Linked DNA regions of Stegostoma tigrinum. The protein of the gene in region 2 purifies or fractionates together with the protein of the main gene of each other region. This does not show direct contact. Links are inferred from orthologs where the notes say so. Each region holds a gene or a part of one and is shown on either strand. Other genes may lie near its edges.

Evidence for each region.
Region 1: the proteins of srpk2 (region 2) and tight junction protein ZO-2-like purify together in Homo sapiens (affinity purification with mass spectrometry; 3 studies listed by BioGRID and IntAct, with this or other methods). This does not show direct contact. The link is inferred for Stegostoma tigrinum from reciprocal best matches to the Homo sapiens genes SRPK2 and TJP2.
Region 3: the proteins of srpk2 (region 2) and gtpbp4 purify together in Homo sapiens (affinity purification with mass spectrometry; 3 studies listed by BioGRID and IntAct, with this or other methods). This does not show direct contact. The link is inferred for Stegostoma tigrinum from reciprocal best matches to the Homo sapiens genes SRPK2 and GTPBP4.
Region 4: the proteins of srpk2 (region 2) and rbm26 purify together in Homo sapiens (co-immunoprecipitation; 3 studies listed by BioGRID and IntAct, with this or other methods). This does not show direct contact. The link is inferred for Stegostoma tigrinum from reciprocal best matches to the Homo sapiens genes SRPK2 and RBM26.

What each region holds. Positions count from the first base shown.
Region 1 is NC_081356.1:27,980,407-27,988,144, forward strand, and holds the start of tight junction protein ZO-2-like, read left to right. Parts: upstream 1-4,188; 5' UTR 4,189-4,311; coding exon 4,312-4,383; intron 4,384-7,738. UniProt on the Homo sapiens protein: Plays a role in tight junctions and adherens junctions. Acts as a positive regulator of RANKL-induced osteoclast differentiation, potentially via mediating downstream transcriptional activity.
Region 2 is NC_081378.1:22,540,028-22,548,010, reverse strand, and holds the start of srpk2 (SRSF protein kinase 2), read right to left. Parts: upstream 3,176-7,983; 5' UTR 3,095-3,175; coding exon 3,079-3,094; intron 2,866-3,078; coding exon 2,805-2,865; intron 1-2,804. UniProt on the Homo sapiens protein: Serine/arginine-rich protein-specific kinase which specifically phosphorylates its substrates at serine residues located in regions rich in arginine/serine dipeptides, known as RS domains and is involved in the phosphorylation of SR splicing factors and the regulation of splicing.
Region 3 is NC_081355.1:136,686,472-136,694,435, forward strand, and holds the start of gtpbp4 (nucleolar GTP-binding protein 1), read right to left. Parts: upstream 3,430-7,964; 5' UTR 3,344-3,429; coding exon 3,296-3,343; intron 1-3,295. UniProt on the Homo sapiens protein: Involved in the biogenesis of the 60S ribosomal subunit. Acts as a TP53 repressor, preventing TP53 stabilization and cell cycle arrest.
Region 4 is NC_081359.1:29,917,095-29,925,119, forward strand, and holds the start of rbm26 (RNA-binding protein 26), read right to left. Parts: upstream 3,704-8,025; 5' UTR 3,117-3,703; coding exon 3,058-3,116; intron 1-3,057. UniProt on the Homo sapiens protein: May be involved in the turnover of nuclear polyadenylated (pA+) RNA.

The DNA.
Region 1 (7,738 bases), on a different chromosome or scaffold from region 2:
TCAGAAACTGAGGTGCTTTGTCCAACTGATGACTCATTTTGTGCAGCCTCACTTTTATGTTTGAGAACGAGAGTCACTTTCTTGTCTTTGTACACTGCATAATAACAGGACCTCTTTGCATTTAGTTTTAATGGACATGCGTAGCTTTTTCTAAGACTGAGGGTGAAGTAATGTGGGCAGGGACTGTGAGTGTGTTTTTTTTCAGAAAGATAGCAGCAAGATTGCATCAACTTTATAAGCTTAACTCCTCTCTTCAAATTATCATTGTTTGTTTGCTTTAAAACTCCTGGGTGGAGTAAATGACAGGAATGTTTCAACATGTTTCCAGTGGATTGTTTGTTGCAGCAGTTTTGTTTTGCATTAGTGAATGCTTCTAAGGCCACAAAAAATGGCAGGTGGTCTGCAAAAAATCCTAGCTATTGGCGAGAACTGTAGTCTTTATCTGATTACTGTGTGGAAAATGAATAATTTTGTTTTAAATTTCTCTTTGATGGAATTGATGACGAAACAGAAGGAAAGCCACTCAATCCATTTTGAGCCTGTGCTGGCTCTTTCATAGAACTATCAAATTTGATTACTAACTCTGATCTCTTTGTTTGGAAGTTTAATTTTGATTCAAAATATCCTCAGTCAGTGCATTCCTAATCACTGTTTGCCACACTAACTAAATATTTACTCCTCTTAAAGTTAACCTTTCAAATCTCTGCTCTCTGGTTACTGATCATCTTGCCATTGAAAGGAGTTTCTTTTTTAGTTACACTATAAGCACGTCTATCACATCTCCCCATAGCCTCCTGTTTGCAAGATAATAAAATGTGAGGCTGGACGAACACAGCAGGCCAAGCAGCATCTCAGGAGCACAAAAGCTGACGTTTCGGGCCTAGACCCTTCATCAGAGAGCTCTAGGGTCTAGGCCCGAAACGTCAGCTTTTGTGCTCCTGAGATGCTGCTTGGCCTGCTGTGTTTGTCCAGCCTCACATTTTATTATCTTGGAATCTCCAGCATCTGCAGTTCCCATTATCTCTGATACTATTTTAGCCTCCTGTTTGCAATCTGCTTTACTGAGGTCGTTTGCCTTTGGATGAGTTAGGCTGAATGGCCTGTTTATATGTTGTAAAGTTGACACCAGGTTCCTCTCCATTCTCCTTCTCCCTGAAGTCTTCACATCCTTCCTAATAGTTTTATGTGCAGAATTGGATGCAGTTCCCTAGCTGAAACCTAATGATTGTTTTCAAACCGTGTTCTTGCTAACCTCCCTGACAGTCAATTTCCAAGACTCCACAGCATAAAGCTGAAAACAAAATTTATTTGAATAAAACCAAACTCCACGCTGTGCGGTTCACCACCAACTGTGCTTGCTATTGCTTCTTTATTTTTGGCTATCAATTCATCAGACAGTTGGAAGATTATTCCTGTTTTCTTTGGAAATGGTGACATTTTCAGTTCACATTTGAGTTCAACAGTTGAGGTGAAACTTTGTGCTTTTGTTATCAACAGATATGTTTATTCATAGCTGGAAAAATAGTTTCATCTTTGGTCCAGAAATACACCCAACTGCAGTGAGTTTTTTTTAAAAAATGGGTTCCAAATGTGTTTTGGATTAGAAGATTAGTGTCATTACAAGTTCATCCAAGTTTTGGATGATCTCGTTCAAAAAAAGGTCCTTTTTTGGTTGTGCCTTTTTAAATATGGATTATGCTACAAAGTATTAGTATGACGTGTGTTCCCTACCAAAATGCTTGATTTTTGGCTTGTATTCTATTTCTGTAGTGAGAACCGCTTGTTATGATGTTAGTGGATTTGGGAGATGGAGCTTTTGATACTGTCACTAAAGAAATAGCATTTACTAGCAGACTGCCTGATCTTTGTATGCCCACTCCTTTTTTTTTTACAAAAACCTGTTTGAGCGTAGGGTTCAATTTTGTGTTCATAGAACATAGAACAATATAGCGCAGAACAGGCCCTTCAATCCTCTGTTGCGCCGACCTGTGAAGTAATCTAAGCCCATTCCCCTACACTATCCCATCATCCATCTGCTTATCCAAGGACTGTTTAAATGCCCCTAATGTGGCTGAGTTTAGCTATATTGGCAGGCAGGGTGTTCCACATCCTTGGCACTGAGTAAAGAACCTGCCTCTGATATCTGTCTTAAATCTATCACCCCTCAATTTGTAGCTATGCCCTCTTGTACAAGCTGAAGTCGTCATCCTCGGAAAAAGACTGTCACGGTCCACCCTATCTAATCCTCTGATCATCTTGTATGTCTCTATTAAATCCCCTCTTAGCCTCCTTCTCTCAAATGAGAACAGACCCAAGTCCCTCAGCCTTTCTTCATGGGGCCTGTGCTCCAGACCAGGCAACATCCTGGTAAATCTCCTCTGCACTTTTTCCAGTGCTTTCACATCCTCCCTGTAATGGGGCGACCAGAACTGCATGCAGTATTCCAAATGAGGCCGCACCAGCGTTTTGTACAGTTGCAGCATGACACCACAGCTCCGGAACTCAATCCCTCTACCAATAAAACCGAACACTCCATAAGCGTTCTTAACAGCACTATCAACCTGGGTGGCAACTTTCAGGGATCTATGTACATGGACACCAAGATCCCTCTACACACTCACTCACTACCAAGCATCTCTAGGTATTTTAATTGTGTCTGCATGCCATGGTTCCGAGTTGAAATGCAGATCAACCATGATCTTAGTTAAATAGTGGAACCGGCTTGAGAGGACAGAATAGCCACCCCCTGTTCCTCGTGCATAAATGAAATAGGCTGGGCAAGGCTCTACTTCCAAATCCATTGGAAACTCACAAATTTCTGCAAGCTTTCTATCAGCCACACATATAATAAAGATCATTTTAATGAAATATTGTCCTAAAACAGCTCCAACCTGTTTTTTTTTCCCTCCTTTTTGTGGTACAATTTTAAAAGTACAACTAAGGAAAGCCATGCATTATTCTGTTGTCAGTTCTCCCAGTTTAACAAAATCACTGAGCTACCTGTTTTGTTTAAATTTTGGTAGCCTTCTGCTTTCCAGAGTGTTTAATGAAGTCTGGCCAACTTGGGACCAAGGCAGCATATTAATGTGTAAATTGTGCAGAAATACAATTGTTTGTAGCAGTAGCTTATAAAGTAAGGTGCTGAAAGATGTGGAAGCTGGTGAGGAACCTAATCAAACATGGCCTAGCAGTAGCACTTCCTTCTGAGGAAGGGTCACCAAGCCTGAAACATTTAACTCTTTGGTTTTTCCTTCACAGATGCTGCCAGACCTGCTGGGCTTTACCAGCAACTTTTTGTTTTTGTTCCTGATTTACAGCATCCACGGTTATTTTGGTTTTAATGGCTTAGCAGTTGCTATATAAGTAGGAAAAGGAGGGGGCTAATCAGACCTCTTTGGGCCTAACATTCAGCAAGATCACGGTTTATCTGTATCGTAACACCATCCACTTGCCCTGTTCTGCACCTCCTTGATAACCTTCTCTTGAAATCTCTGCTTTTGAAATTTTTGATTGATCCACTTTTTGGCCCACTTTGGGGTGGGGGCACGCAGTGGGGGGGAAAGAGGGATTCCACCTTTTTGTATACACCACATCGGGTGACCACAAACCAAACCAAACCAAACCACTACCGCCGCAAGAGTTGAGGTTGATACTCCTTAACCTGTAACCAGCTTTCTTCTGATTTGTCAAGGTATCTTGTTTTTGAACTGAGCCTGAAGTGAAATTTTACAGGCTAAGTTTCAGGTGTCTAATAGAAAGTTTGTTTATTTTTGTTTCTGGAAATTCTTTCTGAGCTGAAAGCAAACTGGATTTGTTTGCAAGCCTGAATCAACCAAGTGGACAATGAATGGTTAATGTGGAGCCCTGTCTCATTCCTCCAGTTCGCAGGCTTAATCCCACTTGTTGTAACACTGAGTGTTTGTTTCTTTTTCATAACAGTGGATGTAAGAAAAAAACAACTTCCTTTTTGAAGTTAATGGCTAGTAGAAAACACATACATACTTTTCAAAATTGGATGAGATTAGCATTACTCTTCCATTCTTGTGCAGTATCGCCCTACTTAGTATGTACAATGTAAAATGTGCTAAATTCAGTGTGGCGGCCAAGGTTCTGATTGTGACTGACTTGTGTCCTGAATGGGCTGTTTTGCCTTCCCAGCACAATTGTAACAGGCAGGATTTGCGCTACATGTAGGGCAGCGATGTATTAAGCTTGCATAATCTAGCTTGATGGTTTCTGGAAATGGATGATTCTCGGTGCGAGGACTGACTAGTTGTAGGCGATTGCAACCGTGTAGTGTTGCATCTCAGTATGAAGTCTATCCAAACGCTGCAGCGAAAATGGGCCAATTTAGTGCATTCGTTCAAGCTCTACAGTGGTCTTGTGAGTCTTTCTAAGCTACTGTCACTGTTTTTCATTAATGCTTGATGGTCAGTCCCCGTAGTTTGTTTCTTTTCAATCTTGTAATTGTTCACAGTTCGCTTCTCCTGGTAGTTGGAAAATTCAGACTAACAATTGCATGCTGTTGTAGTTTAGTTTAAATTAATGTAATGATCTCGAAGAGATTAATTGTTGGGATGGCAACTAATTTTTTTCAACACCAGCTGTATGTATCATGTAAAGCTTTTAGTCAAATAATTCTTAATCTGTGTTAATATTTTCAGCTATTTTCTGGAAACTGTCCAGTGTGCATGTTTGAATTGTGAACCCCTTGTACCTGTTGAGCTGTGGTATTGTTTTGGGAATGACAAAACACGAGGCAACCATTTGGTTTGTTGTGCCTACGTTTACCCAGGGCCATGAAGAACTCTTCCCTTTTTTTTTCTGAAAGTTACTATTGAATCTGAACAATGCTTTGGAGACCCAAAGCAAAACCAATCTCCTCTTGCTATTTTTCCGTTTTATCTTAAAACAAATCTGCTTAATGAACCTCCTACTGGAAACAGAGTTGAGGCTTTCTAATATCATCTTGGCACATAAGATTCATCTAAAAGCAAACTAAATCTTAAAGTAATTATTTTATTTCTCATCCCTTATCCCTTATTTTGTCCATTCTACTCGGCTGCAGTGCTTCTCAAAACTATGCACGGTAAAAGAGTGGTATTTTATGAAAATGCTTTGTTGCTGCATAATTGTTCATCAGGGAGGCCACATTTCTGGGCCTTTCAGCTCCTTTTTCGTTCGAAAATTGTCCTTCCTTAAAAAGGAAAGGCACATAACCAAGAACTAAGGACTATAAAATGTGAAAATTACAAGTAGGTCAGCGAACATCTGAAAGTGGAATTCTAACCTCCAGTAAGTGGTTGACATAACTACCGTGAATGCATTTAAAGGGAAACTAAATATACAAGTGAACTGAGAAAGAAATAGAAGGATATATTGATGAGTTGGGAGAAGCATGATCACTAGCATACAATCAGTTCAGCTAAATGGCCTAAATTTGTGCTACACCATTCTCTATAACAGAAGGACTGTGATATCAGTGACTTCTGTTCACCTTTTCCCTCTCTCTTCCCTTCTTTCTTTAAATTGAAGCACAGTTTCTGTGTTTTGGTGATTTTCTTGAAATGTTTGAAAGTACACTTTGCAGTTGTATGGCTCTCATCTGAGGTAGAAAATGTTATACCTTCCACCTGTAGTCTCCTCTTTGGAACTCTGGTACTAAATATTAATTAAGTAATAGATCTATTAGGGAATTTGAGGAAAAGCTTTGTTACCCTAAGAATGTGTGTTCGGGTATAGTGAGGTGTATACTACAAGCTACTGAAACAACACCAGAGGAGGAAGGGAATAGATGAGTATGCTGATAGTGAGCTGAGACTCGTATGGAGCATAAAGCATTTATTTGGAACACTTTAGATTGAATGGCCTGTTTCAGTACTGGAAAACTTTTGAAGTAATTCTGAAGAGCACTTGCCCAAAAGGTTCCCCCATTTTTTCCTTCTCAACTGATTGAAATGCTCGTCCTATAAAAATGCTACACTTGCGAACAGTGGATTTTAACTAAGCAGGTGAGATTTATGTGACTTGAGGGAGCATGGTCATGAGAACTGAGTTTAGTGAGCAAGTCTTTGTTTATTTTTATATTTTTCTTGTATTTTCTCCCCCATCCTTTTTTTGTTTTGTTTTTAAACAATGATATAAATGCAAGCTGTGAAACACCATTATTTCCCCCCTCCCCCACCATGGGAATCCTAGAACTCTTACTACAGGAGCTATTTATTGACCATCTTCATAGACTCCCTAGAGTCTGGAAGAGACCGTTCAGCCCATCAAGTTCACAGCAAACCTCCAAAGAGTGTCTGTCTGACACCACCCTCAAATCTATCCTTGGAACTTTATTTGCCATGACTAATCCACCTAGCCCGCACATCCCTGGACACTATATGGGCCAATTTTTTGCATGGCTAATCCACGTAACCTACACATCTTTAGACTGAGAGGAAAACGGATCATGGGTGGTGGTGGGGGTGGGGGGGTGGGGGGTGGGGGGGGATGTGGGGAGCGGTGGGAAGAGGTGGGCAGCAAGCGTGCAGACATGGGGAGAATGTGTGTGGAGTTTGCACAGTTGCTCAGGGCTAGAATCCTAGTTCCTTGACACTGAGGCAGTGGTGCTTACTACTGAACCACCATGCTGCTGGTGTTTTGATTCTATTTACTGTCCTATGTACTGAAACACAGTGAAAAGTTTTGTTTCAGTGGTACAGGCAGATCATAGTAAGCAAACAATGTACAGATCAAAAATACTTAGACAGATACCTTCAGGTTATATTGCACAGGGTGTGTACTAGGTGAGATCAACATTTAGAGTTGATCACTCTTGTTTAGTAAGATCAGTGTTATTTGAGGTTAGAGTGTCCATTCATCTAGTAATAGCCAGGCAGAAACTGTTCCTAAACCTGCTGGTGTGTGTGTTCAGGCTTCTGTATCTTCCTGACAGAAGAGGTTGTAGGAGATCATTGCTAGGGTGCCGTGGGTCTTTGTTGGCAGCCTTTGTGCAGCAGTGAGCCATGTAAATGAAGTCTGTAGATGCAAGCTTGGTTTCTGTGATGGTCTGGGCTGTGCACACCACCTTCTGTGGTTTCTTATTGTCCTGGGCAGAGCAGTTCCAATACCAGACCATTATGCACTTGGACAGTATGCTTTCAATGGTGCATTGGTAGAAGTTGGTGAGGGACCTTTTATGGACATGCTAAATTTCCTCATGCAACTCAGGGGGGGAAAAAAAAAGAGGCATTGTTGTGCCTCCTTGACCATCTATATGGGAAGTCCAGGACAGGTTGTCAGTTATGGCCACTCCAAGGAACATGATGTCTCGCTCTCGCTCTCGCTCGCCGACATTGAGAGAGATTGTTTTCATTTGCACCGTGTCACCAAGCCCTCTTTCTGCCTTCTGTAGTTTGACCCATCATTGTTAGATATCCGTCCCACTATGATGGCGTCATCAACGAATTTGTATGGTGTTCTGTTACTTCAGGTTTAAAGGGTATGAGATCTGATACAGCTCAGGTGTGATCAAGTTGAATGGTGGCTTAGATGTGATATGCTGTATGGCCATTTCGTGTTCCTATGAGTAACCTCGTGCAGGAGACGGAACAGTCAGTTTGCACACAGCAAGATCCCAGAAAACAGCATTGTGATGATGACTAGATGAGCTTGCTTTTTTTTTGTGGTGTGTGTTTGAAGTATAAATACTGGTCCGGAGGTCTGGAAGATATTTGCTGAATAAATTGCTGTG
Region 2 (7,983 bases):
ACTATTACAAAGGATATAATTTTAAAGTGATTGGAGGAAGGTATGGGGAGATGTCAGAGGTAGGTTCTTCACACAGAGTGGTAGGCATGTGGAATGTGCTGCCGGCTGTGGTAGTGGAGTCAGATACTTTAGGGACATTTAAGGGACTCTTGGATAGGCACATAGAGGATAGTAAAATGTAGGGTATGTAGGATAGATTGATCTTATTAGAATAATGGGCCTGCACAACATTGTGGACCGAAGGGACATTGTGGACTTTAGGGACATTTAAGGGACTCTTGGATAGGCACATAGAGGATAGTAAAATGTAGGGTATGTAGGATAGATTGATCTTATTAGAATAATGGGCCTGCACAACATTGTGGACCGAAGGGCCTGTACTGTAATGTACTGTTCTATGTTCTATGCGTGGATAGTGTTAACGCCTAGGATGGCAATTTTTAAGGCAAGAGGAGAGAGATTTTAAAAAAAGACCAGGCAATTTTTTTTCAAACAAAGACGGTGGTCCACGTGTGGAATGAACTTTCTGATGAAGTGTGCATGTGGGTACAATTACAACATTTAAAATGTTTGGATATGTACATGAATGGGAAAGTTTTGGACAGATATGGGCCAGGGAGCAGGCAGGTATGACTAGTTTAGTTTGGGATTATGTTCGGCATGGACGGTTGACGAAAGCATCTGTTTCCATGCTGTATGACGCTATGACTCTCTAAGTTTATATTTCTCCCAAGCATAATTACGAATTGCAATAACTTTCCCACAACCAATGTTAAACAGGTCTATAATTTTCTGGTTGCTCTCTCACCTCTTAAATTATGGAGTTCTTTTTTCAATTCTCAAACCTAAAAGAATTCCTGAATGAAGACAGATCAGGAAGATTATGGTTTAGCATCTGCAATTTTCATACTAACTTGCTTTGAATTTCTGGGTGGGAAACACCAACTAAAGGATCTGGCATTCTTTAGTGAGAATATTATTTCTAATCACATTTTTGATATCAGCTATCCAGATTCCAACCTAAACGCCAATATAAAAGTAATCCAACAGCAAGACCTAAGCTAAAGAACTCAAAACATTAAGCAAATTCATATCACCTAATTAAAGCCTGTTGTTCGCAACTGATCACTTACATAATTCTTGATTTGAGCAAGAAGCAACACCAATAAAAGATATTGGAATAGCAAGAAAAAAAGGATGAAAACATGAAAAAAAGATAGAAAATGCTGGAAACGTTAAGAGCAGGCAAAAGCTGCACCAGTGACCTCACCCCCGCCTCCCCTCCCCCCCATTTACACCTACAATAGATTCATCTTTATTTCCTTGACATCTCTTTTTACCTAGTACCACTAGTCTTTTCATCATTGAATTGTTTCTGTCTTCCATTTAGCCACAGGACATTCCTCTTGCACTTGGCAACCATCCTCCACTTCTACACTTGTTTAAAACCAAAAATGTCTGACTTTTTTCCCCAGAATTGACTTAATGCTTAAAGTCAATGGCATTCTCTTTCTCCCTCCAAAGTTGCTGCCAGGCCTGAGGAGTATTTCCAGCATTCTCTGTTATTATTTCACATTTGCAGCATCAGCAGTATTTTGCACTTTTATTACTTTAATTTGTTCTGATTAAAAAGGTACTAGTTACACACCAGTTTGGTTCAAACATTAAAAAGGTCCAACTTCGAGCCAAAGTGAATTTATTCATACCTCGTTGGTCAATGGATGAATATTTTATTCAGCACCATAACAATGCCAGGAATATATTAAACTATTGATTCAATGAAGCTCACCCCTAGAACACAAACACACACGTGCAACAATGCACTGAAAAAAAATCTTCTCACTGTTGCTTTAGAAGCAAAGATGTTCCACAAATTTACAAATATAATTAGCACGAAATTTTGAAACTACATGAGCCTCAAATTTAGAATCAAACAAGTTACTGGCATTCAGTGACTTGTATACAAAATTAATTTGTTGTTACAAGAGTGAAATGTCATCAGTATGAATACCAATAATACTCAATCTCTCCTCCAGGACAAAAGTTTTGCCTCCTCTCTTTATTGTGTGGTCATGCATGGAACGGATGAAAATTGAAATATTAAGGAAATGCACAGGCATCAGACACAAATGCAGTTACCATAGAACTAAATGAATTTCCATCAAGTACCAAACCAATCATCATCACTCCCTCATGGCTCAGTGGATAATTCCACTATGTGATGCAGCACAGGGCCAAGTGATAGTGGGAAGAGATAGAACATTAAATCAATGTTAACAAAATATACAGTACAATACAAATTAAAAACAGGAGCTGTTATGTTTGAGACAAAACGATCATCAAGTAATCATACCGAAGTGACATAACATGCACATCCAATCTGAATGGCTCACACATCTCAAAACTACATGAGAATGTCAATAGTTTACAAAGAAAACTCCTATCCACACCGAAGAAAGCAGACTTCATCTTAACAGTTGATTACAGTTGATGGCACTTTCTCAAAACAATTAACTTACACTGGATATTTTAAACCAAATTCGGTCAAGCCCAGATTAGACAAAATGCCAACAAAAAGGCCGTCATTTCTAAAAACGTATGTTAGGACCAAGCAATGGAATAAACATCACGGAGGATGCAATAGTGTATAAGCACAAATATCGAGTTTTTTTTAAAAATTATGCCATCATTCAATGAATAAAGCTTTTTTTCTGCCCAAGACCAAAGCGCCGTTAGCAGATCCCGAAACATCTAGAGCAGAGAAGCAGCATCAATTTACACAAGCCACACTCTGCACTACTCACTTTTTATGAGCCTTCTCTTTCTTTCCTTTCGGCCTCCTCTTTCGAGCTTGAATAGCCAGGACTGACAAGACAAGACGGAAAACAAGGAGGAAATTATATAAATATAATTTTAAATATACCTAGCACTTAACAACCAAAACAAAATATCCAGGCAATCGTGTAATGTAAGGAGGTTTGTTTCTATTTGTGATGTGTTCCTTTCTAAAAAGAAAAGTGCCTGACGTTTAAATAGACTAGTGGACAAACGCGTTAATTCCTATTTTTTTCCCCTCACCTTTCCTGGAACTCATTTTCCAGCAGGATTGTCCTCGCGGAGCCGCGCGCAGGCGCAACCGTCAACTTCCCAGCGCTCGAGCACAGGAAACTGGACGACCGGTACACAATTAACGTCACGTGCCTTAGATGGGAACTCGGAAGTTAAAGGGCCTATAATATATATTCAAACATCGAAGAAGCAAAAGGTATAATTACACCTCCCTCTGTTTGTGCATGCTTCGAACATAAATATTTCGGTTTCCTTACAAGACAACGTTCCTAACAACAAACGAAACGTAAAAATCTATCATTTAACCCTGAATGAGTAAATAAATTGTTTCACATTGAGATGTAAAGCAACACAGATATCCGTCGTTTGATGTATTGATAATCATGTTCATTTGCTTTACTACCTGTGTTTATTTTAAAAATATTGCGTTCATGCAATGTCAAAGATGTGGACTTGTGTGCAACCTTCTTTGACTGTTCTTCAACTTATTTTCCATTAATGTAAAATATTGTTTAACCAAATGTCTGGTATATTTGTACATCAATCAAAGCTGATTTACAAAGTTTCCTTCTGTGTTATCTTTTTAAAACTTCATTTGTATTAAGTAAGTACTGGAAGAATCATTTGGCAAACATTTTCTAATCTCTAACAGCAGAATTCTATATTTGAGTAATCTTTTACAGCTTCATGCTCCTCTGAGAAGTCTGCATTCTTCCATTCTGATCACTTGGGCATCTTTAATTTTAATCATACCTCTCCTGATGGCCTGCCTTTAGTTGCCAAGGCCCTGAACTTCAGAATACCCTCTATCTCCATCTATCTTTTCTCCTTTAGGAGATTTATTTGTGGCTCAGCATCATTTTACTTTGTAATACTATTGCCAACTTACTTTGAATGTTTTTATCATTTTAAAGGTGCTATGTTAATACAAGTTTTTGCTATATGCATATTACCACTGCAGGTCATAGGAACAGGGAGTAAGACTATAAGTTGTAGGAGCAGAAGTAGGACATTTGGCCTATTGACTCTGGTCTGCTATTCATTGAGAAAATGGTTAATCTCATATTTCTTGTCTCCACTTTCCTGCCATATCCTTACTGATTAAAAATCTGTACATGTCCGACTTGAATATACTTACTAATGCAGCTGCAACAGCCATATGTAGTAAAGAATTGTACAGATTCAGGTGAGCTAGCGCTAATGGGGAGTGTTTAAACTAACTTGGCAGAGCAGTACGATCCAGAGAGAAAGTCCAATGGGGAACCAAAATCAAAAGAGATAGCAAGGAAGTCAGGAATCCATAGAAATTATATGCTAGTTAAGGCACAAGGGAGCTTGGCAAAGTTGGATGATATTTATTTTAATGCAAAGAGTCTGACTTATAAGGCAGATGAGTTGATTGCATGAAGTAAAACAAGGGGGGATGATTTAATTGCTATCACTGAGACATGGTTGAGACAGGAGCAGAATTGACAGTTCAATACTGGAGAGTCTAGGGTCTTCAGACAAAACACAAGAAGATAAGAGGAGGGGGTGTTGCAATATTTTTGCATTAGGGAAATCTTGTGTCACGAACTTGATTGAGTTTTTTGAAGAAGTCACCAAGAAGATTGGTAAGGGCAGAGTGATAGACATTGTTTACTTGGACTTTTTACTTCGACATGGTTCTGCATGGTAAACTAATTAGTGAAGTTAGATAGCATGGGATTCATGATGAGCTTGCCAATTAGTTACAAAATTGGTTTAACAACAGGAGACACAGAATTGTGGCGGAGAGAGTTGATTGTTGTACTGGAGGCCTGTTACCAGCGGTGTTCAACAGGGATTGTTGCTGGGTCCGCTTTTGTTTGTCATTTATATGAATGATTTAGATGAGAATACAGAAGGTATGGTTAGTAAGTTTGCAGATGACATTAAAATTGGTGGTATAGTGGATAGTGAAGAAGGATACATCAGGTTACAAACAGATCGTGATCAATTGGGTCAATAGGCTGAGGAGTGGCTGATGGAGTTTAATTTGGATAAATGCAAGGTATTGCAGTTTGGTAAATAAACAAGTTCAGGACTTATACAATTAATAGATGGGCCTTGGGTATCACCCACCCAAGGGTGGAATTGATCCTAGGTCCCTGGCGCTGTGAGGCAGCAATGCTAACCACCGGGCCGCCCACATACTTTAACTGTTTTCTTCAACATGTCCAACCACCTTTCATGAGTTATGTACTTGTATACAGAAGTAGTGTAGAATGGAGACCTAGGAGTTCAGGTCCATAATTCTTTGAAGTTTGCGTCCAATATAGACAGAGTGGTTAAGGAGGGATTCATTATCTTCACTGCTCAGACTCTTGACTGTAGGAGTTAGCACGTCATGTTGAAGGTGTACAGGATGTCGGTGAGGCTTCTTCTGGAACACTGTGTCCTGTTAAAGGAAGGATATTATTATGCTAGAGAGGTTCAGGAAAGATTTACCAGGATGTTGCCAGGAATGGAAGGTTTGAGTTAAAAGGAGAGGCTGGATAGACTGGGACAGTTTTCGTTGAAGCGTAGGAGGTTGAGGAATGACCTTTTAGAGGTTTATAAAATCCCGACGGATATGAATAAGCTGAAAGGTTTCTCTCTAGAGTGGGGGGGTTTCAAGACTAGGAGGCATATTTTAAGGTGAGAAGGGAAAGATTTTAAAAAAGACATGAGGATCATTTTTTTTCAGCAGAGATTGGTTCATGTATGGAATGAACTTTGAGAGGAAGTGGTGGATGCGGTTCAATTAAAATGTTTAAAAGACATTTGGCTAAGGATATGAATCAAAATTCTTGGAGGGAGATAGGCAAAGGCAGGCAGGAGGAACTAGTTTACTTTGGAATTTTGCTTGGCATGCAGTGGTTGGAATGAAAGGTCTGTTTCCATGCTGTTTGACTGTATGATTCTGAGGGATTGGATAGAATGGTTTGTTTTCCTCGAAGAGGAGACAGTGTGCTATTAAATGAGATGTTTAAAATTATGAGGGGTATAGACAGGAGAATACTTTTCCCCTTGCTGGGGGAATCAATGACTGATTTAAAGCATAGATTTAAAATAAGGGACAGGATGCCTACAGGGAATGTGAGGAATTTTATTTCATCCAGAGGGTGATGGTAATCTGGAACTCACTGCTTGTAAAGGTGTTCGAGGAACAAACATTCATAACTTTGAAGATGTATTTCGATGTACACATATGATGTCAAGGCTTGTAAGACTATGGGCCAAATGCCGAAAAGTGACATTAGTGTAGTTAGGCAGTTGTTTTTGACCAATACAGACTCAGCCTTTATCTGAGCTGTTGACTTGTAACACTCTATGACACTAGCCACTGAGCAAATAAATGCTTCCTAATCTCTGTCCTAAATGGGCAATTTCTTGCTCAGAGATTATGCCCTCTGGACCTGGACAGAAAGGGAAACAATCTCTCCACTTTTTTTATTCATTTGTGGGATGTGGGCATTACTGACTGGCCAGTATTTATTGCTTGTTCCTAGTTGCCTTTTAGAAGATGGTGGTGAGGTGCCTCCTTGAACTACTGCAGAGCACCTGCTCTGGATTGAGGATTTTGACCCAGCGACAATGAAGGTACAGTGATATATTTCCAAGTCAGGATGGTGAGTGGCTTGGAGAAGAAATTGAAGGTAGTGGTGTTCCCATGTATCTGCTGCCCTTGTCCTTCTCCATGGAAGTATTCGTAGATTTGTAAGATGCTGTCTGAGGATCTTTAGTCAATTTCTGCTGTGCATCTTGTAGATAATACACACCTCTGCTCTGAGCAATGGTAGTAGAGCAAGTGGATGCTTGTGGATGTAGTGCCAATCAAACGGGCTGCTTTGTCCTGGACGATGTCAAGCATCTTGAACGGTGTTGGGGATGTACTCATCCAGGCAAGTGGAGAGTATTCCATCATATTCCTGACTTGTCTTGTAAATGGTGAACAGGCTTTGGGAAGTCAGGACATGAGTTACCCGTTGCAGTATTCCTGCAGCCTGGCATGTGTGTGGCGTGAATGTTACTTGCCACTTGTCAGCCCTAGCCTAGATATTGTCCACATCTTGTTGCATTTGAATGTGGAACGCTTCAGTACGTGAGGAGTCATGAATAGTTGTGAACATTGTGCAATCATAGGCGAACGTCCCCACTTCTGACTTTATGATGGTCCGGTCATTGATGAAGCAGCTGAAGATGGGTTCAGCCTAGGATACAAATGTGTGGAACTCCCGCAGAGATGTCCTGGAGCTGAGATGACTGACCCCCAACAATCATGACCATGTTTCTATGTGTCAGGTATGACTCCAATCACCAGAGATTGCTCCCTGATACCGATTGATTCCAGTTTTGCTAGGCCTCCTTAATGTCACACTTGGTTGAATCCAGCCTTAATATCAGGGCTGTCACTCTCACCTCACCGCTGGAATTCATTTATTTTGTCCATATTTGAACCAAGGCTGTTCTGAGTGGCCCATGCAGAACACAAACTGAGCATCACTGCACAGGTTATTGCTGAGCTGCTGCTGCTTAATAACACTGTTGATGACACCTTCCATCACTTTACTGATGACCAAAAGTAGACTGAGAAGGCAGTAATTGGCTGAGTTGGATTTGTCCTACTTTTTATGTACAGGACATACCTGGGCAATTTTCCACATTGTCGGTAGATGCCAGTATTGTAACTGTACTGGAACAGCTTGGCTAGGGAATGGGCATGTTCAGGAGTGCAAGTCTTCAGTACAATTGCCAGAATGTTGTCAGGGCCTGTAGTCTTCGCAGTATCCTATATCTCCAACTGTTTCTTATCACATTGAGTGAATTGAATTGGCTGAAGACTGGTATCTGTAATGCTAGGAACCACTGGAGGATGCTGAGAGGATGCCTTTTCTTTTGCAGTGATGTGAT
Region 3 (7,964 bases), on a different chromosome or scaffold from region 2:
TTTAATGCAGTTCTTTCAGGAGGTAAGATGCATTGTGGCTAAGGGGGAAACCACTGGATGCATTGTACTTAAATTATTAGAAGGAATTTGATGGATCAAAGGTTATTGTGGAAAATCTCTCAATGAAGCACATATCACGATCTTTTAGGTAGAAGTTTGGCGGCCAAAAGGAAGGAGGTAGTAGGTAGAAACAGGTCATTTTCAGGTTGGCAAAATGTAACAAATAATGTGCCACAAGGATTAATGGTGGTGCCTCAACATATTACAATTCACATTAATGAATTGGATTAAGGGACAGGAAAATACAGTAGCAAAACACACCAATCTCAGACAGATAGGTAGGAATGTAAGTTGTCAAGTGGAAACAAGAAAGTTATAAAAAAAAGATTAAGTCAGTGGCAAATGGAGTACACAGTGGGAAAATGTCAAATTGTTAATTTTGGCAGAAAGGAAAGGAAATATGCTTATTATTTAAATGTTGATAGGCTGCAAAGCTCGGATGCAGAAATATCTGGATGTCTTTCTGAACAAACTATCTACTTTTTCAACTGCAAAAACCTGACAGTTAAAATGAACGCTCTCTGGTTAAATGGAAGAGGTATTATTACCCATCTGTAAAGTTCAGTGACAGTAAGCAGAACTGTCTTTAAAAACATCTCACTTTAAAAGATGCTGAATTTACACATATACATTCAGTACTCCCTCTAATGTTGTGACAGAAATTAAATAGTCCTTTGTGAGATTGATAACTAAAGATGAGAATTTTTAAAATTGAAGGTACAATGACACAGCCTCCACACAGATCAGCTAAAAGTACGATGATGAGTGAGAAAGCCTTGCTGCTGTCCAATACCTGGTTATTGGAACCTTGAAGGAGATGAAGTTTACGGGGCGTATTTTCAAAGTTTTTTCTGCATGATCTTTTCGATCTCAGCCTGTTCCTCAGACCTCGACCTCCTGTTCCTTAACCCAGCCCCACTAAACTATACAACCTTCCTTCACCTGTTGCCAAAATTCCACGTGTGAAACTCTTTACTCAGGCTTTCTTTACTGAATCAATCCTAACTGGAGTTAGGAACTATATTCTGTGCCTGTGACAATGAAAGTTGCCACAAATTTACAATTCATCAATGTTTTGGCACCCTAGATGTAACCAAGATATCCATTACCTAAGCATATTGATTGTCCAAATTTGTCAGGCACACAAAATCTGTGTTTGAAATAATTTTCTTTGTCTTATAATTATTGGATTTAGGACTCAGGATTTTTTTGGGTTAACAACATCGCACAAATGAACTGTGGAGGTGTGTAATGCTGAGTAAGAAATTTCATGGAGCCTTCTCATCTTGCACTCATCCAGTCAATTCTTTCCCACTACTTCCCCTATTGACATCTGTGGATTGTCCCGATGAGTACAAGATAAAATACTTCGACAAAATGCATGTTTTAGCAAACTCAAACTGAGAAATGTATTGAAATGACTTTGACATCACTTAAGGGAAATGCACGGCATAAAGTTCTCAAGATAGCAAATCACTAACAAGCCCAAGCACACAATTTTTTTTCCTCCTTACTTGAATAATGAAGACACAAGATCATTAAAAAAAACTGAAGCAGATCATAAGGACTTTGAACTTCCTCCTGCACTGAATTCACTCATAGCTAACCTTCGGCTTCAACTCCACTTTTCTATCTGTCTCTCATATTCCATGATTCTCCAAGACTGCAAAATTCTATCTATTCCACACATACACTCAAGTGCACTCAATTATGCAACATATTCTAGACTCGAAGAATCCAATGATTCACAACAAAAGATTACCCTCATCTCAGTCCTAAATTATTGCCCTCTGCCAGAGGACAAGGTCAGAAATCACACGACACCAGGTTATAGTCCAACAGGTGTATTTGAAAACACAAGCTTTTGGAGCTTCAGTCCTTCTTCAGGTGTTAGTGAGAGGGCAGTATCAGACACAGGATTTATAAGTAAAAGACCAAAGGTTCACACCATTGATGAGGATGTACAAAATAAACCTAAGATGCTGTTAAATCTTTAATCAGCTGGAAGGTTTTAATTGATCAATACGTACACAGAAATCAGCAAATTCCTTTCAAGTGGCAGCCCCAAGAGAATGAAGGCTTTTGTCAGTGTAAAGAAGTGGTGACATCTTAGGTCAGACAATATACGTTAGATGTGAGACCTTGTTTAGAATCTGCAAGTGCCTTAGACTGGAGTCAGGCTGGCTCTTCTGAAAAAACCTTTATTTCTCTCAGGACTGTGACTCGAAAGGAATGCAAAGATTTACATATACATATTATTCAATTAAACCTTCCACTGATTAAAGATTTAACATCATCTTAGGTTTGTTTAGTACATCCTCATCAATGGTGCAAACGTTTGATCTTTTACTTATAAATTCTGTGTCTGACACTACCTCTCTCACTAACAGCTGAAGAAGGGCTGAGGCTTGGAAAGTTTGCGTTTCAAATAAACCTGTTGGACTATAACCTGGCGCCGTGTGATTTCTGACCTTGTCCAACCCAGTCTGACACCGGCAGCTCCACATCATCACTCTGCTAGAGGAAACAATCCAAAAGTGTCAAGTTCCAAACTTCGGTTTTGAAAAAGAGTGAAACCAAATTAAAATCCCGCAAACCAATAGCTGGCGAAAGAAATTTCATTCGGGCTGCGCAGTGAAAACCTGCGCATCAAACTGGAGATGATCCATTGATGCGGGGGCAGGAAGAAGGTGCATGGGCGGAGGAGAAGGAAGAGCCTTCGACAACCATCAACGCCTTCCGGTGACTGGGGCGTCCCTTTAACCAGCCGATGAAATTGAAGGGGAATTGACAGCCACTTTTTTTTGGGACGGGTAGGGGTTGGTGATGGAGGGAGTTACTCCCAAGTCCTGGAAAGATTCTACACTCCCTTCAAGTCTGTAATCAGTAAAACGATGATATTTTAAATCATTGTCCCAACCTGGCCAGTGCAGAGTGACCAATCGGTTCGTGTGTGTGGAACATAAAAAGCCGGCTGGGGAGAGGGTTCAAACCTATGAACACGTTAAGAATTGCCGGAACCTGATAAATACACCTTTACACCCCATCCCCATCCGCTGCGGGCCGAGACGTTACACTCAGCCCTGAGCAAGCGGAGGAAATATAGGATTGACGGGGAACACGTGTCCGGGAGCTCTCGGCCCAGTTACTCGCCACTCTGACCCAACCCAGCCTTTCAATATGTACAACGTCTGATAGGCCAGTCGCTCGCAGCCTCCAAACGGCCACCACCTACCTTAGCGGACGGCACTACCGTGATCTTCTTGAAGTTGTAAAGCGCCATCACGACCCACCACTCCGCAACCGGAGAGAAGAGGAAACCACGAGCAATCTTAACAAGATGGTCCAGCTTGTTCAGTCCTCCCTGTCTGGAAGGTGAAACAGCGCCACACCGCTCCTCCCAGTCTGGGAGGTGAAACGACGCCACACCGCTCCACCCAGACTGAGAGATGCCAAACGTGTCACTACGCTCCTCTCAGTCTGCGAGGCGAAACAGCGCCACCGCGCTCCTCCCAGTCTGGGAGGTGAAACAGCGCCTTTCTGTACCGACACCTGCAGGTGGGGTTAGAGAATTGGCGCCTTGGTGAATACGAGCAATAGTTTATTTTCGTGAAGAGTGTGAAAGATGCTTAATTTAGAACAAACACAGCGCATTGGAGAAACCCATGAGGTCTGGCAGTGTTTGTGGAGCGATAAACAGAGTTGACAACTTCGACTCCAGCATGGCTCTTCGGAACTGAAAAATGTCAATTTATTTTTAATATGTACTTTTGACCGAGGAGGAGGCAAAGCGTTGTTAGTGGTGGAGAAAGAGAGAAAATAAAGTAAAATAGTTGTAAATTAAGGTGTCGAACGAGGGGAATGGGTCCTCTGTACTAAGAGCAAAGTGAACAAGATAAAGGATACGTTTAGATCTTTATTTTACCATGGCTGTCGCGGTCTGCCGTTTGTAAATATTGGCCGTTTTAGCTTTAGGTGGTGTAAAATGGTGTGTGGCGAGCATGAGTTGGCACTAAGTTAGCATGGGACTGTGAGGGACCATGGACTGCACGAGTCAGTACATTTGTAGGGCATTGACGTGGAGAATTGTGGGCTGAACGAACTACAGTAAAATGGGGCATCATGAGTGTGATGGGGAAGTAACAGAATGTAAAAGGAACAAAACAATTGGAGCAGACCATCCTGCAACTTTTGTGGCCAATTCCATAGCATCACAGAAAAGTTATGGCACAGAAAGAGGCAATTCAATCCTGCGATCTGCACCGAGGGCTGCAGCCTCCCATCCCAGTCCAAAATCAAAGGGCACTTTTTCTCAAGGCAATGAGCCAAATCTAGAAATTTCCTGACTTATAAAAGTCATACAGCACAAAAATAGACCCTTTGGTTGAACTTGTCAATGTTGAACAGGTTTCCCAAACTAAACTAATCTCATTTGTCTGATTTGTCTCATGTCCCTCTAAGCCTTTCCTATTCATGTACCTGACCAAATGTCTTTTAAATGTTTGAAGTGTATGTGCATCTCCCAATTTCTCTCGCAATTCATTCCACATACTCTGTCAAAAAGTTGCCCATCAGGTCCCTTTTATATCTTTTCCCTCTCACCGTGAAACCATGCCTCCAGTTTTGAATTCCCCTTCCCTAGGGAAAAGATCTTCGCTATTTACCATATCTATGCCTCTTATGATTGTAAAAATCTTTATAAGGCCACTTCTCAGCCTCCTACGCTCCAGGGAAAAGAGTCCCAGCCTATCCAGCCTCTCCTTATAACTCAAACAGTCCAATCTTGGTAACATCCTTGTAAAGAGAAGACAAGGTGTAGAGCTGAATGAACACAGCAGGCCAAGCACCATCAGAGGAGCAGGAAGGCTGATGTTTCAGGCCGAGATTCTTCTTCAGAAAAATGAAGAAGGGTCTAGGTCCGAAACGTCAGCCTTCCTGCTCCTCAAATGCTGCTTGGCCTGCTGTGTTCATTCAGCTCTACAACTTGTTATCTCAGCTTCTCCCAACATCTGCAGTTCCTACTATATCTGAAACATTCTTGTAAATCTTTTTTGCAGCATTTCCAGTTTAATAACATCCTCCCTTTTGCAGAGCAACCAGAATTGTCTGCAGTACTCCAAACGTGGTCCTATCAATGTCTTGTATAACCTTAACATGACATCCCAACTCCTGCACTCAGTCCTCTGACCAATGAGGGCAAATGTGCCAAATGCCTTCTTCACCACAGTATCTACCCTTGATACTACTTTCAAGGAACTATTTACCTGAACTCCGTGGGCTCTCTGTTCGACAACACTACCCAGGACCATACCATTAATAGTTTAATCCTGTCCTGATTTGTCTTACCGAAATACAGTACCTCACATTTACTGAAACTAAACTCCATCTGCCACTCATTGGCCCAACTGACCAAGATCCCATTGTATTCTGAGATAATTTTTTTCGCTGTCCACTCCCTCACCAGTTTTGGTGTCATCCACAAACTTACTAAACATGCTTCCTATATTTTCCATTTCATGCAAAAATCCAGCCAAATGTAAGGAATAAACATGACACTCTTTGTTGATCTGGAATGTGCTGTCCTCCAAAAGTTAGCTTTCAAAAGGAAACTGCATAAATAGTTAAAGTGGAAAAATACAGAGATGGTGAAAGAGCAAGAGATTAGACTAATGGGTTGCAATTTCAAGCCAACACAAACAATACGGCAAATCAATTCCTTCTGTATAGTGTCAATCTGTGATTTTAAAATTATTTATGTCAGAACCACTGTTGCAAAGATAGCAGCAGAACATCTATGTCATTAAAATTTGGCATAAAATTAACAAGTTGTAAAGCTCATATGTAGGAGGTATTGTTTGGGTGATTCTTCATCAAGCAAATCCTAAAATACAGAAGAGCAGTGGAACCTCCCCTTCAAATTTATATCAATAGGAGGCATATTTTCTTGGTAAGTACATCTTGTTAGATTCATGAAACTACTGAATGTTTGATAAGCAATTTCATTTCTTATCCTTGAAAAAAGATTTGAAGATATTCAAGTTTACTTTCCCCCATTAAATTTCCTATGGCTGCACAAGTTGGATCAAGGTTCCCTGGAAAATTTTGAATGTTGCAAATGATTTTGCCTGAGACAAAAATTGTAAACATTCATGTTCTGTTCTGAGTTTAAAAATCCAAATACAGTTTTTATTTTCCCTTTCCTAAATAGACATATGCACCCCTTATCTTCCAAGTCATTCCTTATCCTTATAACCCAAACCCTTGGATCCTCACACGTAGTTACTATGAATTTCAAATGGGTGGCGTGTTTCAGGCTATTACTGACTCCAACAAGGATTGGTTATTTGTGGTTCACTAGGAATGCACTTGTTTCAAAGTCAGATCCCACATCAGCTATAAAGCTAAACTGGCACCTTACTGCAGTACCGAGAGAGTACCTCACTGCTGGAGGTTTTGACTTTGGGTGAAATGTTGAATCAAGTCTCAGATTGCCCCCTCAACTAAATATGAAAAATCTGATGGCACAACTTCATTAATGAAAAGAGGAGCTCTTCCCAGTCCTGGCCAATATTTCTACAATTTGCCATATAAAACAATGTTTTTCCCAATGTTACTTATAGTTTGCATGTTATAGTAAAATCCTAAAACTTAAACTGTTGTGACGTGATTCTGTCAACCGTTACTTCGATGTTCACATTTTTTATAAAAGTTACTGGTTTATATAGGGATCACAGCACTGAGAAAGGGCAGTGAGATAGAATTAGAGTGAACAGGTGCAGTGAAGAGCTATTCCAAACACAGATGCAATAGTGTACAGTAACTTATTTGATCTAATGGGGATAGATGACCTTGACTCAACATAATGAACTGCTGTTAACTTTTGTACACAAATATTTTTCTTTATCTACAGGTTGATTAAATTATGCTCACAGTGCTTGAGTCACTTGTTATGCAAGGACAGATGTGCCACTCTTGATCTGTCTCATGGATCATAATTTCTTGACGTTTCACTTTAACCCATGAACATATTTCAAGTGAAGTTTGGAAAAACAGCAAGATCAGTCATCCATGGCAATATAAACTTTTCAATTTATTTGAGAATTGCATAAAAAAGACAATTTGCCATAGTGTGTTGCATTTATTAATACTTCTTGAGCATTGTCCCAAAGTAAAGTGAAAACAACAATTATGCTTTAAGAGAGGAGGATGCTGAAAGTGAACTTCCAAAGTTTGTTTAAATTTTAAACTAGGCATGTTAACTTTGCTTGTTCGACATATTGCTGTGAGAAATAAACCAGAGAATTGCTGCCATCTGCATGTTGGTTGAAAAGGATGCTGTATGTGTACCTCTTCTTCCTATTTGCAAAAAAAGGGCTCCTGTATATTAATATATGTAGTTATGTACACACTAGATATATCTCTCAGTGTGACTGAACAGCTTTTTAGTCTAGGCTATCCTTTAGTATAATGGCTACGTGACCAGATAATTTCTCACTGTTTCATGTGAATTCATAAATAGACCTGAGTTAGTTTAGTCATGAAAGATGCCTATCTCTCTGATGAGCCTGGAAAGGTATGACATCTCAAAAGTTTGAACAACACACTGTTTTGTGCTACTCCTATGGACTGGCAATATGATTTCTGATCACCATGAATAGGATGCTGCCAGTAAGCCCAGAAGATATTCTGCACATCACACAAATAACTAAAGTGATATATGAATTTCACTACCGGCGTGATGCCATGTACATAAGCCATATGTTCTATGGACTAGCAAATCAAATCAAACAGCATATCCCTTTGGCTCTTCACAACAGGCAATCATACTGACTGTGTGCGACAAGCCCACACTTGCAAAACTCACAACAGTGTACAACATGGGTTTGATTCCATGGTTGGACAAT
Region 4 (8,025 bases), on a different chromosome or scaffold from region 2:
CTCAATTTTGGCACTATTTATGATCTGAGTCATGTGCCATTTAAGTTAAAACGTCAGGTTATACACAAAAGAAACAAAACAGCGTGCAAAACCTAAGACTACAGCAAGAAAACTACACACTATTTTGACTAAGTTCAGTCAAGTTTTCAATGTCATATTTCTTTTCTAAAAAGTGTACACTGAATAAGTGTAATTAAGTAATCAAAGTCTGACAGAACAAAGAAACCCCAAATGCTGATGACTACAAAGAAAACTAATATTTCAGGAAGCTGGCTGAGTTGTGAACTAGATATCAAGAACAAAATAAGACTACTTTAATTCTATTGACATGAACCTAAAATAAATGTCTCCAGCAATCGATGGCAGCTAGCATAACCACAGCATCAGGAGTAATCTGACCGAAATTCTAATTTGCACTCTAGAAATAAGAAAATAGAAGGCTTCTGAGGAAAACAAATATCAACGATGAACAGAAGGGAAACGGGTCGAGTGAGCAAAACTCTTGTCAATTGCCACTCTTCTGTGGAAGGAACAAGTGAAAGTGAGAACAACGAGGTAACTGTGGAACAAGGAATGAAGGATACAGGTGTTCAGCTCTGGATCAAAGGATTAAGTGATACAATGGCACAAAGTAATGATTATCTCAGGAAAATGAAGAATTTGAGGCATATGATGGAAGGAAATATTAGCTTAAAAGTATTTGTTTTTAAATTTGTTGTTAGTACGTACACAAAATGGGCAAGGTCAATTTACTGCCCCTTTTCTAGTTCCCCGGCTTAAGTACTGGTCAGCCTTCTCCTTGATCAGCTCTTGTTCTTGCAATAACGGTTCTTTGATAATGGGCTTTGGAGCGGATTCTGACAATGACCAAGGGAGTGGTCATTGACATCCTCATCAGGATGGTGAGGGCTGAAGAGGAACCTGGGATGCAATGACATTCCCACAACGTTACGACCAGTATGCTTCTTAGTAAATTGCTATCACAGGATTGTCGGTACTGTCAAAATAACCATGATAAGCTGCTACAGCGCACATCATAGTTGATCAGCAATCAATGTTGTGTTGGGGGAAAACAGGAAACAATAGAAAGCCACATTATCCCCAACTCCCACAGTGCCACTACAAGGACATTTTCCCAAAATAGTATATACAAACATACAAATGTCCACAATACCCACATTTCCCCTACCACTGACAACATTTTGCATCTCCTCATTTTTAAGCCCAATTTTATATCTCAAAAGAAAGTAGAAAAAGGGAGGAAAATGACATCAAACAAAGAGAATGCAGAAAGGCAAAATAGAAAAACAGAAACAAAGTTAGCAGGGATAATTAAAAGATTTAATCTATAACTTATCATACACAATACCATGGAAGAGCAATCACAGGTATTAAGAATCTTACTTATGCAAGCACATGCAAGTCAGTTTTTGTAACCTGTCACAAGAAAATGCATTTTAAAGCCATCTAAGTCTGGTGCATTTTGCAACCTCGATGGAAACCACACTATTTGAGGAAATATACGTTGGCAATTGGTTCTGCCAGTATCAGCTGACTTGCTAATGTAAATGATTGGATCTTCATGATTGCAGCAGCGATCCTTTTTTTAAAGTCTTGTGTGGGGTCCCTGGATTGACTACTTGTGCATCATGCCCACGAAAGGCAAGAGTAGTAAAATTAGTTTTACAGTTTTGTGATCCCATTGTTAAAATCTGCCTTTTTGAAGTGCACAGGTCTCACTGACATGACCTGCAAAATGGAGATCCGTATTTTCAGTTGATGTTCTACACATCTAGACAATCATGGGAAGGAACACCATAAACAGGGCGGGAAGATGGAGAAAAAGATACTAAGACAAGTGTCAAAAACAAAGGTCAGGATGCAGTAGATTAAAAACATTTAGTGAAAATATTGAAGCAGATCTTGGAGATGGTATAACTTTGCTTTTAAGACATGAAATCTATTCAGCATGTGGTTTTTGAGAACTGTGTTACACTAAGTATAATTCATGGTCTGTTGACTTCACCTGCCACAAGAAATGACTAACTGAAATAGTGCACACATTGAGTACTTACTTGTAGCCAACTAAGAAGTTTAAGAGCAGACTTGATTTCTTAAAATAATTGTTCAGGTTCAAAGAAATGAAAGGGGAAGGCATTATCATGTAAGATAATAATCAACTACTTTCAAGCAAAATCACCTACAAGTTGACAAATGTATGAAGAAATCAGGGCCCACGTAGCACAGCGGTAGTGTCCTTACCTCTGAGCCAAGAGACCAAGGTTCAAGTCCCAACAGTTTGATTAAAATAAACACTAAAAACTTGGCTTAATGGCTTCAAGCAGGTATTCGATGAATATTTTAAATAACAAGGTGCAATACATGTGCATCAACAACTCGGCCAGTGGATAGGCTTCAAATATTATAAAATGCAAATTACAACAGTCACTTAGAAACGCATTTACACTGCTAAGGACAAAAATTGTTACTTGCCGCACAAATCAAGATTAAAAACCCTTGTAAATCTCATGATCACGTGCGAAGAGATACTGTTGAACTGGACTACATCGCAGGGGAAGGCTTCTCGACGTTCAATTCAATGTTGCTGCAGAAACGCAACTTGTTAAAAAAAAAACACCCTCCAATCAACGTACAGGTATCGATGAACATCTCAAGCGTATTCAATACTGTGCAATGGAGAGTGAATGCTTACGACACATCAGCCAAAAAAGTACTCACCATGTGCCAGCAGTGTTAAAAATAGATATAAACAACGCACCATCCTTCAGATAAAAACTTGAAAATGATCGACATGTCCGAAATGTTAAGGGACTAAACCAATTTTGCAGAACTACAGCCGACGAAATACTATTGCTGAATTCTGAAGTTGAGCGAGTTTTGTTTGCAGGATCACCGATTTCGTTCCCTTGACTATCCACCACCTCCAACCCTCTTCCCCCAAAATGAACTACAATAACTCTGCAATAACCCCGTGGAATCTATCTCCTTTAACTACCCGGATATGCACTGAGATCGTCCAAACTCGCTGGTACTTACATAGGTTCCAGGGTCTTGGTGAGCCACGACTTGAGGGCATCGAGATTTTCTATCATCATTGTGACCAAGCTTGGAAAGGGAGAAGGTTTTTTTGGGGGGCGGTGGGAGATAACAGAGGCCGATCGGCTCTTGTCAAACACTAAACAATTTGTTGACGAGGGAGGGGGGGGGAAGCAGGAAAGATCGGGACGGAGGAAAGTGGCAAGTGGCGGGGCAGGGGGATGCTTTATGACCTAAACGAACTGGGGGGTTGTTTCGTCTTCCCCCTTTGGAGGGAGAAGGGGGTGGGGAAATCAAAGACCGAACATCGAAACGAAAGGCTCTTTACCCCCTTTCTAATAACGAAAACAAAAATTTACAAATAGCAGCTGCGGCTCCGGATGCTCAACGTGTCCACACACACGACCAGAGACAGGGCCTGCAAAAAATATTTTAAAAAATATCTTTTTACTTTAAAAAAAACGTACAGGCCTGCGCAGCACGCCAACAGTGTTAAGAGTTTGAGACTTTTTCTTTCCTTTTTTTAAAAAAAATCGTTCCGCCCCCCACTCGCAAGCGTCAGGAGTATTTCACCAGCTGGGCCCAGGCTAACTCTTAACATTTCTCGCTCTTGGCGAGAGCATTCAGAAAATGGCGGCTTCCTACTCTCGGCCCGCACACATATCTCGCGAGGTTTCCTGCTGGCTGACTACGGGGGCGTGGTGAGAATGTGTGTGTGTATCGATCCATCTGGAGGACGCATCCAAATTTCAACAGGCACGCGCACACACACACACACGCACACAGACAGTGAAGAGCCTGGGGGAAAGGAAGTGGGATAGGGGATGAAGGGCTAGTGGAAAAGGTGATGTCGAGAGAGGAGGTGGGGAATAGGGGATGAAGGGAGGATGGTGTGTGAGCAAGGGGTTGAGGGGCGTAAGGGAGTCGGGGGAAGGGGTGATAGCAGTTGAGGCAGAGCTGTGGGGAGAAGGGGAGATGGCAGGAGTCGGGGGGAAGGGGAGTTGGAGGGGTGTAAGGGGAAAAGGGAGATGGGGAATCAGTGGAAGGGGTGGCGGAACGGGGAGATTGGAGGTAATTAGAGGGGGGAGTGTGGGGAAAGGAGTTGGGCACACACATGGGAAGAGAGAGGGGTGGGGAGAACGGTGATGGGGTGACTCGGGAGAGGAGTGGTAGAAAAGGAGGGGCGTATGGTAGGGAGATGTCCCCGGTCAGAAAAGTCAAGGGGAGTTGGGAAGGGGAATGGGGGAAGAGAGGAATGGGGGAAGGAGAGTGGGATTGGGGAATGGGGAGTGGCGTGGGAGGGGAATGGGGAGTGGCGTGGGAGGGGAATGGGGGAGTTAGGGAGGGGAGGGCAGTTGCGTAAGGGGAGATGGGCAGGGAGGAGTGGGTGCAAGGTGGAGAGGGAAGTGTGGGAAAGAGAGAGGGGATGGAGAATGAGGGAGACAGGATTGTGGGAAAGGGAGGTGGAGATGGGGAAGGGAAACAGTATTGGGAAAGAATACAAGAGAGTGGGTTTAGGGGAGGGGTGAATGCAGAGGGGCAATAGTGAATGGGGAGTGGGGGAAGGGCAGTTGAGGGGAGCGCTGGAAGGGCAATTGATGGATTGGGGAGCAGAGATGGGGAAAGGGAGATGGGGGGAGTTGGGGAAGAGGAGGGTGAGTGGACGTACAGGGGAGTGGCAGAATTTGAGAGTTGGAGAGGGTGAGTGGCAGAAGAGGGGAGTGGGGGAAGGGGAGAGGGAGAGGTGGAGTGTGAGATGGGGGTCGCCGGAGAAGGGAGATGAGGGTAGTGGGGTCAGGGGCTGGGGGAAGGGGAGTGGTGGATGGGTAGATGGGAATGGGAGGTAAATGGGGGAAAGGGGAATGCGAAAGTCCAGAAAGGGGGAGGGTATAGGTGGGAAGAGGTAAAGGTGTGAGTGGGTAGGGAAGAAAAAGTGAGGGGAAAGGGTAAAAAGGTAAAGGGAGGGGGAATGGGAGAGGGCAGTTGGGGAACAGATAGGGGAGAAATGGAAAGGGAGGGAAGCAGGGAGTATGGAGGAAGATGGTGGTGGAGAGGGAAGGAGGATGTGAGGAAGAGGATGGGAGTGTAGGAATGGCAGGGAGCAGTGAGGGTAAAGATAGACTGGGGACAGGAAAAGGGAAGGATGTGGATAGGGCAAAAGGGACTAAGGTAAAGGTATGGGGAGGAGGGTAAAAAGGGTTGGGGGTAAAAGATTTGGTTAGGGATAAAAGAGTGCGAGGGAGAAGGTGGTGTAAAAGGTGGAGAGTTGGCTGGGGCAAGAACCAGTAAGGGTGAAAGGTGGGTGGGGTTGAAGAAAGTTGGGTGGTGGGTGGTAAGGGGGCGTCAATCATCAAGGGGAAGTGAGATAAATGAGAGGGAGAGGTGTGGTGCTGGGAGAGAGGAAGGCGGCCAGAGAGGGGAGGATTAGGCAGAGGGTGAGGGTAAAGGGGTTGGGGAAATTGGGAAAAGGAGGAGGGAAAAGATGTCAGGAAAAGGACAGATTTAAAGGTGCAAAGATGGATAGATATCCAAGGACCTGCCATGGTGGGAGAGAGTAAGAACTTTACTGGTGACAACCAATAATAAATGTGAGATTGTGATGGTGCACATTGGCAGCTGCAGTACTGGTGAATAGAGGGTCAAAGACACACAGATTAATATAAAAAAGCAAAGTAAATTTTTTTATTGTTCTGAATCGCTATAAAATGCTTTTGTAGTCAGTGTTATGTTTGCTTTTAGATTCAACCATTCTTTTTTTTATTCCTCTCTCAACAAAGTTCCCCTTTTCACTCCAGTTTCCTCTTTTGAAGATCACAGTTTACATTGGAACCGTGCTGGAGATATGTGCAGATTCAAAGTCTTCACATAGCTAATTCTTTTTGATGTGCACATGTCATCAACTAAGTTAAATCTTTTTGCACACAAGCCCAACATAAACAGAAGCACACTGTAAGTGACTTCTTTCATATGATTGATGTTGCAAAATTTGCTCTCTTCCGAGCAAGTAGTGATTTACACTGGATAGCAATTCCACAGGTGCTTCATTGGCTCTATACCATTTCAAATTTCTGCTGTAGTGTGATGCTGAGCAATTTCAGCAGGATATTTAAATACAAGGCTGTAATTATGAAGCACTATTAACCATAACTCAACATGCCCATGTGTGCACTTCCAACAGGCAGCATCGTACAGTAAAGAGCAGCACAAAGCTGGCTTCATTTTTGTCCTCTTTGCTCACTGGTACCAAGGGTTGTTACAGACTCTTTGCTTCTAGTGCAAACGTTACTTACCCTTGGATGAAATTTACAACTCAGGAGAACACAAAGTAATATGTCATAATTGAGCTAATTGACTTTGATCATAGATAAGATCAGCTAACTAAGCACAAAGCAAGGTTCCATGATTGCAGATCTCCATGAGTAATATGATATATTTAGTTAGAGAAACATAAAAACAGGAATAGGCCATTCAGACCCTTTGAGCTTACTTCAATATTCTAGATCATGGCTAATCATCAACCTTTTCTGCTTTATGTGAGTACACCTGCTAATATATATGGACTTTGCATTACAATCTCCTTCTTAAAATAGTTAATTGTTTCACAAGGCTAGATTTTCTTGGCATTGGCAGCAGTGCAGCAGAGTGAAACTGCTAACCAATATTTTGATCTGGTTTGTTACGCCAATCCATTTTCCTTCAGACTTCAGTGTAGAGGCCTTTCACCAAGCTTGCTGCAACAAGACAGAAACTTTTGTTTATGTGAGAGACCACGCCTGAAGTGCTGATCTTAAACATCTTGGGGCCCAGGTGTCTGAAAGCATAACTGCCAGAGGAATGAAGCAATTGTGAAAGGCAAAATATGCTAATGTCAGAGGAATGGCAAGTTTTCAAGAGGCTGCAGAAAAGATTAAAAAGAAAGGGTTAGGCAACAAAATTACAATCTGGAATTGGAAACCACTGCAGGTCAGGGAATGAGTGAGATGTAGCTTAGGAAAAGATACAAGAAGCATGGTTTAGTGATTTGAATTTTTTTAAATGCACAATGGATGAAAGACAGAACAAATTTATTGTGGAGGTTATTTTGCTCTTTATGCTTCTAATTGTTACATTTGGTCTGTACTTGTTGGTGCACATCACATACAATTTTCCTGATTTTCCAGTTTTCCAACTTAATATATTGAACCTTGTATGTCAGGGGAGAGTTTCTGCTCCAATCAATAAGAGATTGTTGAGTTGTTTCAGGTCTTGAGCAAATCTTACCCACTGCTTTCTGAAGGCAATGTTTCATCCTGTAACTTTCTGTCAGGTAAAGCATTACCCATCCACAACAGTCACAGAAGTTGAGATATTTCTGGGACATATGCTAGTCACGGAGAGTAATATTTGGATTCCATTTGAAAATGCAGAGCAACCTTGATCCGATTGTTGGATGCACATATGAACCAAACACGTGGTCTGCTTAGTGAAGACAACTGACATTTATAGAACACTAGTTATATAGCCAAACATCCCAAAGCATGATCAGACAAGCCCTGAGTATAATCAGTTGTAGCATTTGAACCTGAGTTAAGGATTATTGTTCCTAGTGAAGCAATGCCTTGTTTTCAAAATTCTGTCCCTCGTTTTCAAAGTCCTTCGTGGCCTATTCCATTCCTACATCTAATCTCCAGCAGTTTCTCCTTATCCTGCATTATATGTTGGACAGGCATTGTGATAAATTTAAAAATATTCCAAAGAAGTCACTTTAGACTTGAAATGTTAACTGTTTCAATCTACAGAGATGTTACCAGACCTGCAGAGTTTTTCCACCATTTTTGGTGCTTATTTCAGTTCCCTAGAATTTGCAAAACCTTCAATGATAAAGTCAGAAGTCACCACACGGGTTATAGCCCAACAGGTTTATTTGAAATCACAAGCTTTAGGAGAGGAGCCCTTTCGTCAGGTGCACTTGTCGGATGGGGCCGCGTT